3 linked regions of the Pelodiscus sinensis genome follow. The protein of the gene in region 1 interacts with the protein of each later gene in a biochemical or structural test. Links are inferred from orthologs where the notes say so. Each region holds a gene or a part of one and is shown on either strand. Other genes may lie near its edges.

Region 1 (7,907 bases):
GGGGATTCATGCCTCAACAATCGATTAGATTTCTTTCAGAGGTCAACAAGCATGTGCAGAAGGAAGATCCACTGGATATAGTGAACTTAGATTTTCAGAAAACTTTTGGAAAGGTCCTCTCACCAAAGGCTCTCAAGCAAAGAAAGCTGCTCTGGGTTAAGATGGAAGGCCCTCTCATGGATTGGTAACTGGTTAAAAGACAGGAAACAAAGGGGAGGAGTTAATGGTCAGTTTTCAGAATGGAGAGGTATATAATGGTGTCCCTCAGGGTCCTGTACTGGGACTAGTCCTATTTAACATCTTCATAAATAACATAGTGGCAAAATTTTCAGATGGTACAAGTCCATGATAGTTAAGTCCAAAGCAGACTGTGAAGAATTACAAAGGGATCTCACAAAACTGTGTGAGTGAGCAACAAAATGGCAGATGAAAGTCAATGTTGATAAATGCAAAGTAATGCACATTTGAAAATATAATCTCAACTATACATACAAAATGATGGGGTCTAAATTAGCTCTTTCTACTCAAGAAAGAAATCTTGGAGTCATCATGGCTAGTTCTCTGAAACATCCACTTAATGTGCAGCAGCAATCAAAAAAGTAAACAGAATTATTAAGAAAGCTATAGATAATAAGATGGAAAATATATTTCCTCCTATATAAATCCAGGGTACACCCACATCTTGAATACTGCATGCAGGTGTGGCCATCCCATCTCAAAGGTATATCGTAAGTGGAAAAGATTCAGAAAAAGCAACAAAAATTATTAGGGTCTAGAATGCCTGCCATACAAGGAGAGATTAATAAGGCTGGGACTTTTGAGTTTGGAAAAGAGACATTAAAGGGAGAATATGATAGAGATCTATATAATCATGATCGATGTGGGGAAAGTAAATAAGGAAGTATTATTTGCACCTCATTACACAGGAACTAGGGGTTAAACAAATGAATTTAATAGGCAAAGATTTTAAAACAAACAGTGTTTTTTTTAACTCAACACACAGTCACTCTGTCAAACTCTTTGCAAAGGATGTTGTAAAGGCCAAGACTATAACAAAGTTTGAAAAACAACTAGATGGAGTATGCCCATCAATGGCTATTAGCTAGGATGGGCAAGGATGGTGTCCCTGACCTATTTTCCAGAAGCTGTAGATAGGCAATGGGGTGGATCACCTGATGATTCCTGTTGTTTTCATTCCCTGTGGGGCATGTGGCAATGGCCACTGTCCAAAAACAGGATACTGGACTTGATGGACCATTGGTTTGAATGTGTATAGCCAATCTTATGTTTGTATTGATCCTTCATATTTTGAAGCTCTCTGCCCCCAGTAGAGGGGCCAGTGATGTACCTTCACTTAATCAACTACAGTGCAATCTATTAATATAACACAATGTAGTTCAGGGTTGATGTGCATTACCTGAGTTTCTCTCAACTCAAAGCTTGGGCTAATTATAGTCTTTGGAAGGCAATGTCAGGAAGAAAAAAATCAAAGCACATCCATCTGATTAAAGCTTGTCAGAAACCCACAATACTTTTACCCAAGCTTACTATTTTATTAGATTTCAAGCACATACAGATATGCAAAAGGCATAGAGCATCCCTAATTATTAGTTACCCATAGTCTGCAGGGGTGTTGTGCAGTCAATGCACACTGTGTAAGTGGCCAGCTATATGTCTGTGGCTGGGGATTCCAATAGATGTTCAGGTCAAATCCAAATTCCTCAGACTTATCTACCATTTTTATGTTAGTAACTGCTACAATTACATCAGTGTGTCAATCAACAAAAAACCATTAAGCAAGCAATTTTAAGCCATTGGTCCCACAGCTGTATTTCTACACAATTTCAAGGTATAGCTAGACAACGTTTTTTTTAAAGGCGGAGACTTCAGATTTTTCAAGAGAGCTTAATAAGAAAGGATCATGCTTATTTCTCAAGGTCACCTTCTCTCTTTTGCCCACCCCAATCTATTTAGTTATGTGAAGGCTGCTACAAAGGCCTTCCAGCTCCTGTTTGTCAATAAGCATAATAATATTCCAGTACTGGCAGCAGTCAAGGCAGTTTGCTGGGCTGTCAAAATCTTCCCTCATAATATGCACCAGGTGGTAGATGCTTGACCGGTGGGAGCCAGTTTGCAGGTTGTTCTCAACCCTTATCTACCGTAACTGAACCTTTGTTTGTTAGGGTGATAAAAATATGCACGTAAAGAAAACTTTGTCGTGGCTTTAGTCAACCGACCAGTGTTGGTGTTTTATACTAGGTCTCAGATCTCTGCATTATCTTGTATGCTGCACTCTACTGGCAACTTCCAGGCATATATCAGGAGCAGCAGCAATGTCTGTGAGGATTGATGCGGGTAGGCTTATGGCAGTGGTCTCCAACCTTTTTACACCCAAGATCACTTTTTAAATGACAGAACAAGCCAAGAACTACTGCCCCGCCCCTTCCTTGAAGCCTCGCCCTCTCTGTTCTCCTCCTCTCCGTCACTTGCTATCCTCAACCCTTATACTGCTGCTTTTTTCCCCCAATTTTTCTGTAGAAAGAGGTTTTTCCAACATTTGGCCTGTCTAGTCTGGACCAAATGTCAGAAAACCCCCTTCTTTTGGAAGCCCCCTTATTGCTCATGGAAAGTGGAATATAGGGGTGACCGAAAGATCATGTTTGCTCTTCCACTAAAAGAAGCAGAAGAACAAATGCATCCCTGGATGCAGAAGTGTTTTTCTGGGATATCTCCGGAATCCTGAAAAACTCCCGCAGTCTAGCTGTAACCTTGCTTGGTTGAGACAGGATGTATACGCTCTGGGGTGGGAATGAGGGATTTGGGTGTGGGAAGGGGTGAGAGGTGCAAGCTCTGGGAGGAAATTTATATGTAGGAGAAGGTAGATAAGGGGATGCTGGCTCAGGGAGGGGGTGCCAGGCCGGGCAGTGTTGGGGTCAGATGTAGGGTTAGGGTACTAAGCAAGCCACAGACTTCTGGATGTAAGGGTTCAGGAATTTGGGTTGGGGTATGTGAGGGGCTCAGGGCAGGGGGTTCCAGTGTATGATAGGCTCATATGTAGGGTCTGGGGGAAAGGGGAGTGCTGGAGTGTTATGATGCTGTGGCCAGATGGGGGCTTGGCCCCAATTTGGGGTTTGTTGGCCAGGCTTCATTTTTAAATAAAATACTATGTCAAACAAAAAGTTTCTGCATTGTCTTTATTTCTGAGAAGGGCAGGGAACCTGTTTTGAGTCAGGGGTCACTGACCCAAGAAAAGTCAGTTGGGGCCACACAAGTGAGATGCAACCCCCCCCCCCCTCCAAGCTTCATTAATGTGGCCCCAACTGTGTTGGTAGGAACAGGGGACATAGTACTGGGGAAGGATGCTAGTGCTTTGGCAGGGGACAAGGTGCCAGTGGGAACAGAGTTCTGTGGCTGGGGGCAGGGGAAAGGGAACAGGGTGCTGGGAGGGCAGAAGACAGGGTTCTGCAGCAGGGGACAGAGAGCCAGTGGGAACAGGTTTCTGCAGCTGGGGAAACCCTGCGCACGCCTGCTCCAGGACCGAAACCCTGCATGCACCTGCCCCAGGGCCGAAACACCTCCCCCCCCCAGACCAGGGAAACCCTGTGCGCACTTGCCCCAGGGCAGACTCACCCCTCCTGCGCTGGTGCAGGGAAGTCGTGGTGCTCCTCTTCCAGGGCCAACCCAACCCCCTCCCGCAGCGCGCCTGGCAGAGCAGCCAGCGTGTTTCCGGAACCCCCGGAAGTGGCGCAAAGCTGCAGGACTTCCGTCCACCCGTGGGAAGCTGGCACTACCTCCATTTTTGCAGGAGGTAGGTAGTGGGGCTTCTCGGGGGTGGGAGGAAAATGGGGGGAGGGCCCGGACACCTCACAATCAACTGGTTGAGGCCTCACGATTGATCTGTTGGTGACCATGGGCTTACAGCATCCTGCAATATAGCAGCAGATGGCATTGAGTACAAGGGTTAGCTTCCTTTGTGTGAGAAGATTGTGCCCAGGATACTGCAAAGGTCTATTCAAGGGAAAAGTAGCAAGAGGGCCAGTGCCAGAGGTGTCAAGTGATATGGACCCACGCTGAGTGGGCACCAGGAACATTCCTGGCTTGGGAGCTCTGCTGCAGCAGTTTGGGGCTGGGTCTTCCCCCCCAACCTCACCTGTACAATTTAAAATGGCCTGGAGGCCTTGTCTGCCACCCCCGGCAGCACCGCAGGGCTAGAACAGCTTCCTACCGCTTGCCTAGCGGCGGACACATCCCAGTGGTCTTTGCATGGCAACCCTAGCCTCAATGCCCCTATGCCCATTGGGAGCTGTGGGGCAGAGCCTGAGAGCAGAGGCATGTGAGATACCTTGTCACACCCTCTCCCAGGAGCCATGCCAGAGGGGCGTATCCCAGTAAGTGCTGCATTCCCACCTCAACCTGCCACCTAGAGCCTGCACCCCCGCCTCCTCCCCTGCATTGCCCCTCCTGCCCCAAACTCCCCCCCAGAGCCTGTATTATTCCTCCCCTCCTCCTGCACCTCCGCCCCAGCCCAGAGCCTGCACCCACAGTCCCTCCCAGAGCCCAGCCCAGAGCCTCCTGCCCCGCCCAGAGCCGTAGGCAGGTGGGGGAGGGGCCGGGCCCTGTTCTGGGCGCCGCCCACAATTCTACAGGCTGTGGCCGCTGGTCACCGGGGCTACAACGCTGAGCACGAGCCCCCACTGGGCAGGGTCCCCGCGGGGCAGCGGCGCGCCCTGGGAATGGAAAAGGAACCTGGCCCAGACTCCAGAGGCCGGGCACAGAGCCGCTGTAACGCCCCGCCCGCCGGCGCGCAGCTCCCCACGCTGCTGTTGCCGTCTCCCGGCACTTACGTTAAGGCAGCTGAACGCGAACCCTTCTGGTTTGTCCCTTTGCGCAGCCTGTAGCGACCGCCTGGCAGAGCCCCGCCTTCCGTGTCGGAGGAGATATAAGGGGGTAGGCTGCGTGCGCCTGACCCAGACCTGGACGGAGACAGGGACGAGGAAGGAAGGAAGGAAGGAAGGAAGGAACGAACATGGCGTCTACCAGCCGGTGAGGGGAGCGGGCGGCCTAGGGCCCCTGGGGGTCTCTGGCCGGGATTCCGGGCTGTCGGCCGGGGCGAGAAAATGGCCGCGTCGCTCCGCAGATTCAGCTCCCGGGTCAGCAACGCTGAACCCCCCCCCTCCCCCCCAGCTGCTATTTCGGGTCCTGGTTCCTGCCTGTCAGTCCCGATCCCTCCCCCCCCCCCCGGACCCTTCGCTCTCCCCGGGCCCTTTCTCCGCTCCCGGGGGGGGGGGCTTTGATCTCCTCGCTGTGGCGCCCCTCTCCGCTCCCAAGGGCTCCGTAGCCGGGTTCTCCGTGTGCGGCCCCTTCCCTCCGCCGCCGCCTCCTGCTTGAAGCAGCGACGAGCGTTTGTGCGCCAGGCCCAGGTTCCGGCCCGTGGTCATCGGGGCGCCGGGCTCCGCCTGAGCTTCCGTTTCCGAGGGTTTTGTGACCCGGCCTCGGAGCTCACAAGTGACGGGGTGGCCGGTGGGCTGCTGCGAATAGCCTGCAAAGGTTGGCCTAGGAAGTCGGAGATGTCTAGGGCGGTGATGGTTACCCCTACAGCCCTCACCTCCCGCCTGCACCTGGCCAGTGAATCCTGTACGCCAGGCAGGAGGGCCAAAGCCCGAGTCCTACGTTCGGGGGAGGGGAGGGCATGGGGAACTGAAACCCAGAGACTTCGGGAGACCTGTAATCTGATGCCTTAGTCGGTTGGCCTCAAGCTTTGGTCTCAAAGCCCAGTAGGTCTAACACTGTTAAAAAGGGGTTGTGATCCACTTTGGGGTCCTGACCTAAGGTGGGAGAACTGCTGCTGTAGGTAGATGGGAGACTTTAAAGCAGTGGCTTTCAAACTCTTTTAACTTGAGTACTCTTCCCCCCCCCCCCTTGAGTTACAATTTTTGGCTGTGTGCCCCACTCCCATACCTATTCCTCCATGCTCAGGTTTTCAGAAGGGGATGGCATATGTATGTGAGCATTGCAGGGGGCCTGAGTCAACAGTGGGCACAGAGATGTTGATATAGACTTGCATGCTGAATGACATTCAGAGTTGAGGTGGGGTGCAAGTGGTGCTCCCTCCTGGAGCCCTTCTGCTCTACCACCTGCACCTGTGTGCACACCCCACTCCCATTTTGCAAATCTCTGCTTCCTAGCACTTTAAATGTTAATTTACATAATTGATCTTTTAAATAAATATGCATTCTGGTCTAAAACCAATGTCTCCTAGAAAATGGATAGTTTGTTCTTACTGTGTTGCTGTGTAAAACTATCGTTAAGGTTAAATCGGGCCTTTCCACAAATTTCATATTTTAATGTGGATGGAAGAATTGCCATGTCTGGTTGCACATCCTGATTCTTCTAAATGTTTCCTAGTAAAAAAGAGTATTTCTTCACACAATGCTTAATGTAACTCATTGCCAACAGATGATGTGAAGGCCAAAAGTATAACTGTTAAAAAAATAGATAATGGAGGCTAGATCCATCAATGGCTATTAACCAAAAAGTCAGGAATATAACCCTATGCTCTGGCTGTCCAGAAGCTAGGCCTGAGTAACTGGATGGAACACTTGCTAATGGCCCTTTCTGTTCATTCTCTCTGAAGCACCTTGCACTGGCCACTGTTTTGAAGACCGGTTACTGGGCTAGATGGACCAGTAGTCTGACCCTGAATGACTGTTCTTATGTTAAAAACTCTTTCATTTCACACCCATTACATTCATTGTTAGGCAATATTCCATTATTCCCAATTTTCCTTCTTGTCATGATCATGTGGAACAGGGTGTCCTCGCTATATGTCCAAGATACCTTTAAACATCATGGGTGTATAGTAAAAGGGTGTAAAGCAGGGAAGTGTATGTGTGTCTGTCAGTCAGTCAGTAAAAAAAAAAAAGCTAGTATGGAACCAATGTATACCGGGGCAATTTATAGCAGGAATGCCCTGTATCAGTAGGCTCCTGATTTGGCCAGATTAGCAGTACTGACAACTACATCTGATTAGTCTTTGGGTTCTTGCCACAATTTTCCCTTTTAGACATTTATCAGCAGAGGTTAGTGATTGATTGGTCTCTATGCCTGAACTATCTTCTTTCTTCATTATGGGTGGAGAGAGTGCTTTCAAACCAGGACTAAAGGTACTGTGATGGGTCAAACTATTTCCTCTGCTGTATCTGCTCTAGAGTTAGTAAACATTTTCCAGTGTTATCACAACTTGTAGCAGGAGTAAAGTAAATGCCAAGCTTTGAGTAAACATCATGGCCATTAATTTTATTGAAGCATTTCCCTGTACATCATGCTGCTGATAAAGGATAGTCAGACCTCAGATCTGCTTTGTGCATCTACATTCAGTTCACTTTTTTTAAATACGCAGTCAGCTTTGTGAACATGGGATGCTAGAAGATAGTTGTTTTCTAAAACAGTCAAGAATGCACTGCTTACCGAAGAAATATTTTAATTGGATTTTAAAAAATGGCTAGCCAAATGCAGGAGTGACTATTTAGAAAGACATGGTTATCACTGATTTCTGGTAGGCATTTATTTAGTAAGAATGGATTTTCAGGTATAATTTACTATATATATATAAGTGTGTGTGTGTGTGTGTGTTATGTTTGGAGCACTTTACTAAATAAAGTAATCCTTGTGGATTTTATGAGGCAAGTTATTTAAGAATTTTAAACTGGATTTAAGAAATCCTATCTTATTGAATTATGTGTGGAAATCCTACGTAGTGCTCCTAATGTACTACTCCACCCAAACAGTTTGCATATTGTTTGTAAATTACTCAGTTGATTTGTGGTGCACGTTAAACATAAAAGTCTTTTTCTTTCTTAGTTTGGATGTGCTTCCCAGAGTGACATGTCCAAATCATCCAGATTCCA
Region 2 (7,279 bases), on another chromosome or scaffold:
ATAAAGAGGGCAAACTTTACTCTATGTAAAACTTTTATGCAGAGTAAGATGGATTTATTTGGGTTTTGCTTCTCTTTGGGGCTATGTTCCTGAATTCTGTCAATAGTCTTATAGCTGACTCCTCCCAGAGCTGAGCTGGTTCAACATCTATGTTGTTCTGCTGAAGGGCCATTACCGTAACACTGTGACTTGTTTGGGGAAGATCAGAGCTTCTGGAACAGCAGGATAGGGTGATGGGGCACTCCAAAGGGCAAGTCGGCAGGCTCAGTGGCATGACCAGCACACCAGGTGACAGCCCAAAGGGAACCTGTCACACACTATTCTCAGAAGGTGTGGAAGTATTGGGGAAGTTTATAGGGCAGGGCTTAAACTGGTGCAAATGATTATAAATTGTCAATGGATTTCAATGGAATGAGGACAATTATACCTAAAAGCCTGCCCCAGTGTCAGCGAAGCCAATATGGAAAGGAGGAAAAACCTGGCCTATTTGATTAAGGAGGATATGAATCTCTTTGGCAGTGTAACTCTTATTAGGTTTTTTCTCTGAAACTGTTCAGCACCTTTTTCACTTTGTTACTGAGTCATTTGCTGACAAGATCGAAGAAAGAGCAGTCCCTGGATCAGTTTTCTTTCTGATAAAATGTCTGTATCACTCATGGTTTGAATGAAAACTATTATCCATCATCTCTTTTTTGCCTGGAATGGGCTGAGCTATGGAGTTCAGATCCTGATCTAAATCTGAATTTTCCCAGACTCTGGAGTGTTCAAATTCAGTGTCCCTTATAGAGATATGCCTCAGGTATCACAGCATCCAGAACCAGAAGACATTCAGATTCCACAGCAAGAGGTAACGTATAAAAACATAGATCCACAGAATTCATGGAGGGGAGCTGGAGGATACATACAGTGTTCTGGTTTTGGTCCATCTATAGTGCTGGTGAAATTCTTTTAAAGGCCCAGTTAGTAGTAATAATAGCTTACATTTAGCTAGTATCTTTTATTCTGAAGATTCTCAAAGGCCTTTGTGAACTATATTCATACAGCAATCATTACTGATATAGCCTTTGAGATGACAAATAGCTAACAGAAAATGTGCACGTAGTACTCAGAACAGATGAGAGTAGAACTAAAATACTGCCCAATCAGTGAGCAGATACAAAGCCTTGCTCTTATGAAAACTGCCAGGAAATCCTGAATTTCCATGCTGAGTGGATAGGATTTCAGGTTTAAGGTAGGGGTGTGAAAAGAGTTAGAAGCAAGTGAAGAAAACGTACTTGTTGAATGTTTGAATTAAACATATATGGCTATCTTCCAGTAAATGACAAAATATGTTTTCTCTCATTTGGTTTACCTGTACTTGGCACAGGATGCAAAGAAGGAAATAATAAGTGGCTTTTTTGTTGCTGGCCAGAGATGCTTTGGTCCTTAATACAACTCTAAGCAGCTGCAGGGATGTTCTATGTTACCTGTGGTCTCCAAAGAGCTATACTGGCAACCAATGATTAGTGAGCCATAGCAATACATTGGCTATGCCTCTTTTCACTCTGGGAATAACCTTTACACTAATTGTTGGAGGGGAGGGGATAGTATAGAAGTAGTGTAGTGATTCTACAGCACTCTGGAGATTTTCCCTACATGGAAAAACTCCTCAATTGGCCAATTAAGTTGAATTTACAGTCCCTCTGTGTCAGCAAAACTGTACAAATGAGCCAGTGTGGTGATGAATCTGTCCTTCTGTCTCTTAGAGCAAGTTTCTTCTGTTCTATTGTTACACACCCACATTATGGAAATATTTTGTCATTAATATTCAGTGAGCACCATCTACTTTGTGTATAAATCCAAACACAAGTCAAGAGCCATCTGTTTAATATAATTCAGCATTTCAGTTTTGTGTGATTATATCTGATCTGTTTGACCTACCATGTCAGCGCTGTTTGTTAACTGTAATTTTACCTGATGTGGGAAATTCTAGGATGCTTGTGAAAAGAAATGTGTGTGTATGCGCATACGCGCATATATACATTCCATTGTATTGTAAAATAACAATTCATGCATGCTATGTTTTATTCCCTTTCTACATACAACATCTCACTTTCCTGGGGATTTCTCTGAGTAAGGGTAAATACTGAAAAGGTATGTTTCATTAAACATGCTAGGATTTGCAAAACAAATCCTCATTTTTGGGAGGTTGTTTTTTTAGCTTTGGGAGTATAAGAACTATATTTAATCATCCTGAATCTAAAATCTACAGCACTGGCTCAAGGAATCTTGGAAACCTCAGGGTTTATCTTGCAGAATTTCCTCTGTACACTGGCCCCAGGAGCAAGAAGTTTTAGTGACCTGAGGGAGGCAGAAGGCATAGTCTTCATCCCTGTAGATCAGTAGTTCTGGACATTGTGACCAACTGTGTGCTAGATCTTTGTGACAGGTGAAAACTTCTCCCTCTTAAGTATGTTTTCATTGCCTTCTCAGCCTGCATCTATGCCACCCTTACCCCTTTCTAAGAGGGCTGCTGACATAGTGCAGGTTGGACAGTGTTAACTCCTCTGAGTATATTTTCCCCGATATCCTTTTGATTCTGAGGGAAGCATACATAAGTTCACTGTAGTCCACAACAAAACTCCTATTAATTTTAATGATAATGCCGTTTTTTTTGTCCGTCGATTATTTTTATCTTGCAAATCAGTACTGCCAGTCCTAAGACTTCAGGCAGCACTGAAAGAGGCTTGTTACAGTGCAATCTCTTGAGCCCACTTGGTTATATGAAAAATTCAGAAGTAAAGGCTCTGTAATTTAAAACCTAGTAATGTATTTCCCCTGATTTTACATTTATTGTATATAAACAGGAACAGAAATGGAAACACAGAGCTCAAACTCTCAGCTACTGGCTTCCGATTCTTCATCTATGGAACAAAACACTGGAAAGTGAAACATAAGGTTAGGATTTTAAATAAGAAATTAATGAAAATGCTTCTTTATTGCCCCACTTAATGTAGTTTCCATGGAAACAGGACTGGATAGGCTGCCTGTAGCTGGAACGGAAAATTCTGCCTTGTCACTTTCTGCTCTGAGCCACCAGCTGAGCCAATAACACTGCCATATTTTTCCTAGTTTTTAGCACCTTACATGAAAACAATGATTTCTCACAGAGCAACTTAACTGGCCAAATTAGTATTGTTAGCTAAGTTTGTTACTTGGGCATTTAGCCTGTTTACTTATACTACTTAACTAACATAAAAATTTAAAAGGAGGAATGTAATGCATATTCAAATTACTAAATCACAACACCAGATTACTGTCAATGTCACTTGAGTTGAAGAAATTAATTCCATGTCATTTTTAAACAGTGGGCAGGTGCAACCTGAACATATGGTTTGAGCTATTTAGACACAACTCCCACCATTCACTTACTGTTTGGTTTTAACAAATCACATTGGGTCATATTAAAAGATGCTGAACTCTTCCTACTTCATTGTGCTCATCCCTTCACAGGCTCAGTACCTAAGCCTCAATTAACAGCATCTGTGAATCCTGCCTGGGGCAAAACTTCAAGATACTGAACATCCTCCCTACTGTGTTCAAACAAGGGCATCCACACACAACCTTTCCCCAAAGTAAGTGACAGTGGGAATAGAATAATAGTTTACAAATAACTGGTTTTCAGATAGACAAACCCTTCATTTCATTTTTGGGCTTTCGGAGATGCAATGTCTGAGTTTCAAACATGGAAGTGGGTGATTTTTTTGCTTAAATACACCTATTCCCTTAAAGGTTTTTAACTTAATGAAAGCTTGCTTTTAACCTGAGTTTTGGGCTAAATCTGAGTTGACAGCCTGTTTCTCATCTCCTGTCCAGGCTCTGGGGATGCTGCAGAGTGGCTGGCTTTTACAGGAATGATGGTAACCCATTATTGATTCACACATCGGCTTCCCCCCTGCTGCTGGAGTAGCTACCAGGTTGTTTCTATGATAATCAGTAGGTAATTTCCTACCAGCAGGGCACGGCCCCACTCCAGGCCTGGCACCTCTGAGGGGTCACGTCTGTCTCCCCCCACATACAGCTCTGTCCCAGGAAGGAAGCACGGCCAGGAGCCCAGCTTCTCCAGGGCCCTGTCACTCAAGCTACCAGGGGGCGACTCCCCTCTAGGCGCTGACCTGCCAGCTTGGGGGTGTCCCCACCACAGTCAAACCTCCCTGCAGCGCGCCGGGCGGCCCCTAAGCCCCCCAACACCCGGGGCGCCTCCCCCGCCGCCAAGTGCCAGTCGCTGCCCCTCCCCCTCCACGCCTGCCAAAGGAAGCGTGAGGGATCAGGCCTTTTCTCGGGGGGGGGGAAGGGAGGCACTCCCTCCTCGCTCCGCTTTGCCGCGGAAGTTTGGCAGCGCCGGGCCGCCGTAGACGGGGTGAGCTGTTGATTCCTGTCCGGCTGGATGCAACGGCCATTGTGTGCGGGCGCCTCGAGCTCGTTCCGCGTGTCCTCGCGCCCCTCGCCCGGGCCGCCATGAGCGAGAAGGGGGAGCTGGACCTGACCGGGGCCAAGCAGAACACCGGCATGTGGCTGGTGAAGGTGAGAGGCCGCGCGGGTCCCGGGCCCGCTGCTGCTGCCGCCGCCGGGACGGGGCTCGCCTCCAGAACGCAGCGCGGCGGGGAGCGAGGGGCTGGGGAGATCCCCTGGGGAGGGCCCCCGACGGGCCGGTGGCGCTGCAGACGGGGCCTGGCGGCTGAGGCGGTGTCCCCGCCGGTGCGGTGCGGCCTGGCGTGACCGTCCCTGAGCGGCGCCGCTTCCCGCCGGGGCCCGCCCGGCGCGCAGGAGACTCCCCTTGGCCGCCCCCACGGTCTCCGGCGGGTCCCGCGCGCTGCTGCGGCCTCCCTGGAGCTGCGGGGACCCCGCCAAGCGCGAGCCGATGCAGAGTCAGCGGGCAGGTGCCCCGGCCTCTCGCTGCTTTGTCAGGCGCCGTGCCCAGAGCTGCGAGGCGCCAGCCCCTTCAGTGGCCGCGCTTGGGAGCAACCCCCTACCGCTCTGTTTCTGTGAGCACTGGCGAGGGGGACAGGGAACGAGACAGTGTAATTGCCTCTCTATGCCAGTAGCATCATGGAAGCCTTGGCAGAAAGAAGAGAATTAATTTTTCCCTTTTCTGTAGCTGGGGTGTGAACTTTAGGCTAGACTTAAGACACTGTTGGGTGGGGATGGATGAGGCTCCCTAGGCACTGTCCCTGGCTTACACCCTGCTAGGAATCACATCGTACTTTATCTTCTAAGACCCTGGGCTACATCTACACTGGCAGCTTCTTGCGCAAGAGCTGTTTTGCAGAACAGTTCTTGGCAAAAAGTCTTCCACAAGGGAGGCTGTGTCTAGACTGGCAAGCTTTTGCGGAAAAACTTGCGAGCTGTCTACACTGGTCACTTGAATTTCTGCAAGAACACTGACTTCCTACTGTCTGAAATCAGTGCTTCTTGCGGAAATACTATGCTGCTCCCATTCGGGCAAATGTCCCTTTTGCGCAAAAGGGCCAGTGTAGACAGCTCAGATTTGTTTTGCGCAAAAAAGCCCCTATTGCGAAAATGGCGATCGGGGCTTTTTTGCGCAAAAGCGCGTCTAGATTGGCACGGACGCTTTTCCTCAAAAAGTGCTTTGCGGAAAAGTGTGTGCGCCAGTCTAGACACTCTTTTCTGCAAATGCTTTTAACGGAAAACTTTTCTGTTAAAAGCATTTGCGGAAAATCATGCCAGTCTAGAGGTAGCCAGAGTGTCTACACTGGCATGTCCTTTTGCACAAGAGATGTGCTTTTGCGCAATAGCGTCCATGACAGTGTGGACGCTTTCTTGCGCAAGAAAGCTCTGATGGCCATTTTAACCATGGGGCTTCATGCACAAGAAATTCATGTTGCCTTTCTACACTACCCTCTTGTGGAAGAGCTCTTGCGCAAGAGAGCTTATTCCTCATGGGGAGAGAAATAACTCTTCTGGAAGAAGCCCTGTTTTACAACGCTATACTGTAAATTTACTCCCACAAGAATGTGCGTGCAGTGTAGACAGCAGGCAAGTTTTTGCGCAAGAACAATTGTTCTTGCGCAAGAAGCTGCCAGTGTAGACATAGCCCTGGGGTCTTATCTGCATTAAGAATTTTCAGGATGACACAGTAGATGAGCTTCAGGAGATAGCCAAGTTAATCAGTTACAGAAAAAAACAACAAATGGTCTGGTAGCACTTTATAGACTAACAAAACATGTAGAAGGTGGTATGAGCTTTCGTGGGTGCAGCCCACTTCTTCAGATGATCAGAGTTATGAGTAGGGGATATGAAAACTCAAAATAAATAGGAGAGGGAGAAGAAAAAGAAAAAAAGAGCAGCAATAGAAATTTTCAGAAAAATCCTTAATATAGACATAGTCAAGGAGTGGGCTTGTCATTAGGTCTTGGAATTTGCTCTTTCGTGTCAGTTTCTGGATGGATTTTGCCCATGAAAGCTCATGTTACCACCTACATGTTTTGTTAGTCTTTAAGGTTCTACTAGACTATTCATTGTTTAAGTTTTTCTAGTTTCTGCGTAGTAGGTTTTATGAAGCCTTGTTGAAAATGGGTTGATCCTACCTGTGCTAACCAAGGAGTTTTCAAATGAGGAGATGAAGATATAAGGGGGACCCTAGGCTGTGTCTAGACTACACTGCTGTGTCCACAAAGAGATATAGATTAGTCACGCCGAAATTGCTAAATATCCGGCACTCCATTAGCATGGGCTCCCCACCCATGGCCACGGCTTTTTTTTTTTTTTTTTTTTTTTTTTTTTTTTGAAGCGGGGCTTTTTTGGGAGGGGGGAAAAAAAGCAGTCTAGACGGGGATCTGTCGAAAAAGGCTTTATTTTTCAATGGATCCCGTCTAGACTGACTTTTTTTTGAAAAAGCTCCGTTTAGAAAAAAAGCAGCAGCCATGTTTATGCTAAGGAAGCATGGGATATTTAAATACCTGCTTCATTAGCAATTTCGACATGCCTAATCTACATCTTTCTGTCGACAGAGAGGTATAGTCTAGATACAGCCCTAGTGTTCATATTGATTATTAACAGAACTTTCCTATGTATACTCTGTATAGGAGGAGAACTGGAATAGCAAGAACTTTTTATGATTCTTCACAGATAGTTGATGACATGATGACATGACTTAAAAATGACTTCCATGACTGGTATGGACCAAGTCTATGGTCTTTTAACATTTTAATTCCTTTATATAGTAGGGATGTGAAAAGGTTATCTGGTAACTGCTGCAGGCAGGGGGCTGCTTCAGTCT
Region 3 (7,199 bases), on another chromosome or scaffold:
GTTTCCCCGTGCCCCATGCTCTTATAATGAAAGATCACTTCTATTGTGTCCTATACTCCCCCCACTCACACCCCTCAAAAACCCACTTTTATAATTTGTTACAGATTCTCAACCTAGCTAGATAATAAACTTCTGTTTCCGGAAGGTACAAGAGTGTAGACAGAAGCAAAAGAAGAAAGTAAAACCCAGTTCACTTTTGCGTTTCACCAGAATAACACACAACAACAAACTGAAACATATCATACTGTGTTCTCATCTTATGAACGTAAATTCTAATATGCCAAAAGAAGGTTAAGTCTGAGAAAGTCCTAGCTTAGCACGGTTGTTATCGTGGTCTGTTCTGGCCAGTTGGTAGGTCCCAGAGGTCAAATTAAGAAATAGTAAAAGTTCATCTCCAAATTACATTTACGTTGTCACCCTTTTTAAGTCTTATTGTAATTTGTCGGGGGTGGAAATGCATCTTGTCAAGGGACTCTTGTTTTTACCTAGGCATCAGATAGGCATTGGGCTGCTTCCCCAGTTCAGCTGCTCAGTCTACTTCCCAGCACTCACACAACGGTTCAGAGGAACTGGGACTTTCGTCGGGAATCAAAACCGCATTCACGTAGGTTACCCAGTTCCTGATACTATCTGCTTTTAGAACATACAGGTAACTGATTCTTTCTAAGAAAATGATCATCACCGTCCGCGCAACTACAGTGGAGTGCAAATACACCTCTGGATCAGAGCAATTTGAATTGCTTTTTGCTTTCTTCGTATTGTAGTCTGTTCCCCAGGTCAGTGGGAGCTGATTGCTGCTGCCCCTTTAATATGTTGACATTATCTCCCAGATAAACAAGTTGCCATCGATCTTTTCATTAGGTGATCAAATAACAAACAGAGCAGGTGAAAAACAGGAGCATTAGTATGCTTGCATTTCTGTAGCAGGGATCCTAGCAACATTATTGGAAGTAAAAGTTCTATTCAATAATTATGTGGAAGGGGTGTTTATGCGTCAGTTGGGTCTATAATATTTCCGTAGATACACAAAGGTAAACGTAAGCGCGTTACCTTACTAAGGAAAGTGTATATAGATACAAGCACATATCTCTGTATCTGTGTGTTGAATGGAGAAACTGGGCTCATAAGAAAAAGCTAAAAACTGAAGGCTCTGCATACCTCCCATCTATAATTCCTATAATCAGATTCAATATGTGTGAAATGCCGAAATAACGGGCCATGTTCTCAAGTTGGGCTGTTTGACGAGTCTCGGAAAGCAGCCTGAATGCTAGAAGCAAAAGTTATCCTTGCAAAGTACTCCTTTACTATAACTCCATCACAGTGGGTTTCCAATGAAATGTAGACAGACGCTGCTTCCCATGTTAACCCCACTAGAAACACAGAATAGAAAAAAAGCAGTACTTGCCTGGTGAAGCCTGCTTTGACCGCGGTTCTGGGTGCCAGCTGAAGCGATCCAGGCTCCGAGGAAATCTTTTCAAGAAGGAGCAAGCACAAACTGCTCGGTCCGTCCACCTTCTCTCTGGCTCTCTCTCTCCCTCTCTCTCTCTCTCTCTGTCTCTCTCCCTCTCTGTGCCTTGCTCTGCCTCTTTTACTCCTTGTCTCTTCACAGTCTGGGGAGTAAAATCTAGATGATATACATACAGAGCCTGCTTTTTTTGTCTGATTTAATCTTATTCGTTTCACCTTTTCACTGACCAGGAGCAAGGAGCGAGAGTTTATTTGGAAAGAGGGAGAGAGAGGAAAGGAGTCCACTGTTGCATAGTCAATAACATCCTTTTTATCAATGCAATATACAATAGGGGCGGCTTGGCCAGGGGACTCATTGAAAATCTCTTCATTATTTCAGGACAAAACAACCCGTTTATTCTGATTTTAGAAATCATCCGCTCAAACTTGTTCAAAATCTTACATCTGTGGGCTTGACAGGAAAATAAACCCATTATCGAAGCACATCTAAGGTGCTTGTTTTGTTAATGAATAGAAAATCGTATTAAAAAGCTTCCTAATATTTCGCATTCCCTTTTCTTGCAGGTTTTGCTTGGTTTCCAAACTGATTTAAAACTTTGATGTGAGCTAAGGGGAGCCCAGGAAGGTGGGGGGGGGGGGGTTGTTGTTGTTGTTTTCTTTTTTGCCACAGACAGACATTCGACCCAAAGTGCATTTAAAAGAGGGCACTTAAGGGGACGTTGCAGAGAAGAAGGGATGGGAGACAGGAGGCTAGAAGAGGTGTGCCGTTGAAAAGAGAAGAAGGTTCCTTGCTTTCCAAAGCAGCTTCTTTAAAAAGAAAATAAAAGTCATGAGAACATTTTGTGGCTTCCTGCTGCTTTAGAAAAGGCACGGGCTTTGTGCACTGAGGAGGAAGGGGGGAACTGAGGACTTTGCTGGCTGCAGCTACTAAGCTCGGTTCCTGACCGCTAGATGGCAGCCGGATCCAGCGATTCCTCTACTAGACATTTGGAAGAGAGAGAGAGAGCAAACCCCTCCTCCTCCCCATGCACATACTCCAACCTTCTCTCTCTCTCTCTCTCTCTCTCTCTCTCTCTCTCCCTCTTCCTGGGACTTTCGTTTACAAGCATTGATCTTCCCAGACAACAAAACGAGAACTTACTTGTGTTTTATTAATAATTATTGAAGCATTGCTGGCTGTTTAAACAGCCTTGGAAAGGAGCACTGCTGGAAAGTGTAATCATCATCATAATTAATAATAACCCGTCCAGGGGAAAGTGTTGGTTTCTGATCTCATTTTACGACACCGAGAATTCCACCAGTGTCACTGAGCGTAATTAAAAATATCAAAAGAGGAAGAATATTTTAGGTAATAAATGGGAGGAAAAAAGCAAAATTGAACATATACATATATAAATATATATTTGCGTTTTCCAATATGTATTATATCGCTTATTATACAAAGCATATTTACTTTCAGCAATTAAAATACTTAATAGAGGGGGGTTTCAATTGGAAACATACAGCAATCTAAATACAGCAATCTAAATAATAACCCCCCCAAAAAAACTTACTTTTCTGCGTGAGCCAAAATAATTTTCTTTTAATTCCTCTTTCCCCCTATCGCAATGCATCTCCCCTCCCCTCCCCCTTTCCCCGTCCTTTTGATGTGTGTGCGTGTGTGAGTGTGTATGACCATAGACGACCCATACTAATCAGGTCTCAAAGTAAATAGCAGCGCAGGGCGATCTCAATGTAAATTGTGCTTGTCAGAAGATTCCCCTTCTCTCCCCCCTCCCTCATTCCCCAACCCAGTCAGTAGGTAGCAGAGAATTAAAAAAAAAAGAGGGGGGCCTCTTAACCAATGGCGTGAAGGAGGCTTGGCTAACCTTAGCCTCCCATTTTCTCTCCCCCCAATTCAGGGCTCTGACCAGTCAGTCGCCTTTGATTATCAGTTGCCAGCAGCCCCTCTCTTGGCTCCTTGACATGAGCTCCATATAAGGCAGCGATCTCCATAGAAACGTGTCAGTTTCAATAGTAGTGTCAAAGTTCACTATATACAGACATTCGCGCAGATCCCCCTTTCGGAAACATTGCTCTGCTAGTCTTCCCGTTTAAACGCATTCATTTTTTGGGTCTCTCTCTCTCTCCCTCTCTCTCTCTCTCTCTCTCTTTCTTTCTCTCTCTCTCCCCCCTTTCTTGCATATTCTATTAGTTTTTTTCTTCAGCTCCCTCTTCTTCCTTTTCTTCTTTTTTTTTCACCCTTCCTCTTAGTGTCTTTCGCTTCATTCCTGCAGGAGAAGAGAGAGGTGAAACTAAAAAAAAATTAAAAAGGAGAAAAAGGAAAAAGAAGAAACCCAGAGAGAGAGAGAGAGAGAGAGAGAGAGGACGCTTTCATATCTTAATACATCATCGTTATTTTTTTTTTTTTACTATTATTGTCTTTTTTTTATTTTGGGGGAGGTTTTGGTCCTGGCTGATGAGTTTTTATCTGAAATACTTTTTTAACCAAAAACAGAGAACATTTTTCGGCGATCTCCAGTGATTTTTGTAACTAGCCCCGTGTGTTATCACCGAAGAAGACGGAAGGGGCAAGAAAGAGGGAAAGAAGAGGATTTATTTATTCGACCTACTTTGGATCTCTCGTTTTCTGCCTGTGCCATTATTATTCATCCTCTATTTATTTTTTTACTCTTCGTCGTGAATTCGTCTCCGCTGCGAATTAGTCACATCCAATTGCTTTTGTATTTCTTTGAGAAAGAGAGAGAGAGAGAGAGAAACAACCACCAACAGCAACAACAACATCAAACTGTCTAATCTTCCATCCCTCCTCGAGCGCGTTTCCCAAGACTGGTTTCCTGAATGGCTGACTGCGTTTTGCCCTGGACCTGGCCCCCGGACACTTTTATCCCCTGATCTTCGGGAGCCTTTTTCTCTCGCTTTCCACCATCCGCGCCCAGCCCTGCGCCCCCCAAAGAGCCCAGAGCGCCGGCGGCGGCAGCGGGGGACAACCACGGCACCAGCACCGGCCTGGCCCCGGCAGCGAGCAGCAGCGGCGGCGGCGGCGGCGGCGGCGGCACCGACCTCCTGCTCCTCCTTCTCCTCCAGCTTCCTCTATGTCTGCACATCCTTTGCACTCCTAGCGCTCGGACTGTGTGGCGGGCGCGCGCTGTGTGTGTGTGTGTGTCGGCCGATCGCCTCCCCCGTGCGCCTCTCCTGCATGCCTCTCCCCGCCGCGCCGCCTTGCCGGCCGCTTCGCTTTGGGCAACTTGAGAAAAAAAATATTTAAAAGGGGGGGGCCCCACAAAATCCTTCATCCCTCCCTTCCCCCCAAAGCGGGAGAGACAGAGAGCGAGGGAGAGGGCGAGGAGGGGGTTGCAAAAATAAAGAGAAAGAAAACGGCAGAAACAGCTCCAAGAAGCAGCGGCAGCAGCAGCACAAGGGCAGCGGCAGCAGCGGCGGCAGCCAAGCTTCCTGCTCTCTCCTCTCTCCCCCAAATCCGAGCCACCCACTCCCCCCCGCCCCCCTCCTCTCCCCGGCAGCCCTCCGCGAGAAGCTCCGCTCCCCAGCACTTTGTGGGCCCGAGATATGGCAATGGTAGTTAGCAGCTGGCGAGATCCGCAGGAAGACGTGGCCGGGGGCAACCCGAGCGGCCCCAACCCAGCAGCTCAGCCGGCCCGGGATCCGCAGCAGCAGCAAGCGGCCTCGGCGGCCCCGCACACCCCGCAGACCCCTAGCCAGCCGGGACCCCCTTCGACTCCGGGCACGGCCGGCGACAAGGGCCAGAGCCAGCAGGGCTCGGGCCAGAGCCAGCAGCACATCGAGTGCGTGGTTTGCGGGGACAAGTCGAGCGGCAAACACTACGGCCAATTCACCTGCGAGGGCTGCAAAAGTTTCTTCAAGAGGAGCGTCCGCAGGAACTTAACGTACACATGTCGTGCCAACAGGAACTGTCCCATCGACCAGCACCACCGCAACCAGTGCCAGTACTGCCGCCTCAAGAAGTGCCTCAAAGTGGGCATGAGGCGGGAAGGTGAATATTTCTTCCCTATTCTACTCTCCCTCGCTCTGTAGCTCGGTGTGTGTTTGCAAGCCCTCGCCAGCTTTGCACCCAGGCTTTTGGTTTGCGCTGATGCCCTCCTCTTCCTTTCCTCCCCCCCCCCCCCCCCCCCATCACCGCCACCACCACCGCACTCTTCCCTGCCCTGCTCACTGGGATGGGAATTTATTATGATGATCAGTCACTAAATATTTATTATTTCTCCGGGATCACTCGGATCTCTCTCTGTATGTGGATGTGGTTTTGTCTATTGTTGGCATGAGGCTGGGGGGACATCATTCTTTCCAAGATGGGTTTCCTTCTATTCCCCCTCCCTCCTTCCCTCCTTATGTACAATTTAAAAACCCACAACACTTCGCAGTAGATCCATTTCCACCATCATCTTTCCTGAAAGAAAGATGAAAGACATGTAAGTGGCGGGGGGGGGGGGGAGGAAGGGAGAGAAAGGAAGGGGGAGAAATATGCTACTGTATCTCAGGTTCCTTGTGCTTGCCAGTATGGTAGAGTCTGCTCCTTGCAAGATCTGGCCTTCTTTTCACTCCATGCTCTCAAAGGAAAGTTTCTGACTGAACCTTGTTTTTATAGTTCTGTCATTTTTTTAGCATGCTGTTCATTTTATTTTTCCATCAAACTCTACCCTCTGCTTAAATACTGCATACAAATTACAATTTACAACATATTTACCGGTCCTCCTGATTTTAGCATAATACATAGTCTGTTTCTGGCATGAGCTGTCCCCACCATTTCAAATGCTATTTTTTAGAGTTGTTCTTGATGTTTGCTTGTAATGTGTCTCATTTTTCGCTAGCAAGATTTGCTGCACTGTATTTTCTAAATATATATATATCAATTTACAGTTAAAGTTCATCTTGTGACTATCGTTAAAGATGTCTGATAGGCAAAGAAGCGAAACAATCAATTTTGTGGCGTGGGGATTACTTGCTTCTTTAATTAGTTTTAAAATTATATTTTCTATGCCACAAGAAAAGAAAGTGAGTTCCTTCAGACCTGGGAAGAGCTCGCACGTATGACGACTTCATTTGTAGCTTCAGGGAGCTATTTGTAGGCGTATGGGGAAAAAAGCAAACTTAGAATTGTGCTTTCATTTAATTGAAAAATAACTGCCAAGTTCAAAACTATAATTAGGTGGAGGGGGGAGGGAAGAGTCCAGCCACTTAGATTTCAAGGGCTCAGTTGGAATTTCATCAATACTATTATAAATGATAAAGTTACGGAAATATTGCACGCTCTAAACTGGAAAGATAAATTATATATAGGGGTGTGTTATTAATATGCCACAGTGGTTGTATCTTCTCCTTGAATTACCTTTGTTGACATGGCATGCACTTTGGAACACTGGCGCTGATGAAGTAAAACATACACACACGGAAAAAAAACTTTGGTCAGCTTTAGGAACTCAAAGCATGCTTACGTTTTGTATTGAGATGGTTAATGAATCCAGTGTTTTTGCAGTTGCAAGCTTGTGCATTCACTGTGCAAAGCTGTCCACAGGCTTTTGCAGTGGCAACAGCGCAGCAAAGATATTAATTAAACCATCGCATTTTTTCACTAATGTTTGGCTACTGTAAGTTCAGACCCTTTTCCCCCCCTTTCGAATATTTAATCTTTCTCTTCCTTCTATCAGCGAGAACTTTGCTGGGCACGTATCGGATGCTTGCTCCGTGTAATAAAA

The links.
Region 2: the proteins of GTF2B (region 1) and GTF2F2 form a complex in vitro, tested with the Homo sapiens proteins (2 studies listed by BioGRID and IntAct). The link is inferred for Pelodiscus sinensis from reciprocal best matches to the Homo sapiens genes GTF2B and GTF2F2.
Region 3: the proteins of GTF2B (region 1) and NR2F1 form a complex in vitro, tested with the Homo sapiens proteins (2 studies listed by BioGRID and IntAct). The link is inferred for Pelodiscus sinensis from reciprocal best matches to the Homo sapiens genes GTF2B and NR2F1.

What each region holds. Positions count from the first base shown.
Region 1 is NC_134719.1:32,367,451-32,375,357, reverse strand, and holds the start of GTF2B (transcription initiation factor IIB), read left to right. Parts: upstream 1-4,905; 5' UTR 4,906-5,026; coding exon 5,027-5,043; intron 5,044-7,860; coding exon 7,861-7,907. UniProt on the Homo sapiens protein: General transcription factor that plays a role in transcription initiation by RNA polymerase II (Pol II). Involved in the pre-initiation complex (PIC) formation and Pol II recruitment at promoter DNA.
Region 2 is NC_134711.1:286,841,240-286,848,518, forward strand, and holds the start of GTF2F2 (general transcription factor IIF subunit 2), read left to right. Parts: upstream 1-4,275; 5' UTR 4,276-4,497; coding exon 4,498-4,563; intron 4,564-7,279. UniProt on the Homo sapiens protein: TFIIF is a general transcription initiation factor that binds to RNA polymerase II and helps to recruit it to the initiation complex in collaboration with TFIIB.
Region 3 is NC_134716.1:72,718,805-72,726,003, reverse strand, and holds the start of NR2F1 (COUP transcription factor 1), read left to right. Parts: upstream 1-4,195; 5' UTR 4,196-5,034; coding exon 5,035-5,479; intron 5,480-5,665; exon of another isoform or gene 5,666-5,915; intron 5,916-6,287; exon of another isoform or gene 6,288-7,078; coding exon of another isoform or gene 7,079-7,091; intron 7,092-7,159; exon of another isoform or gene 7,160-7,199. UniProt on the Homo sapiens protein: Coup (chicken ovalbumin upstream promoter) transcription factor binds to the ovalbumin promoter and, in conjunction with another protein (S300-II) stimulates initiation of transcription. Binds to both direct repeats and palindromes of the 5'-AGGTCA-3' motif.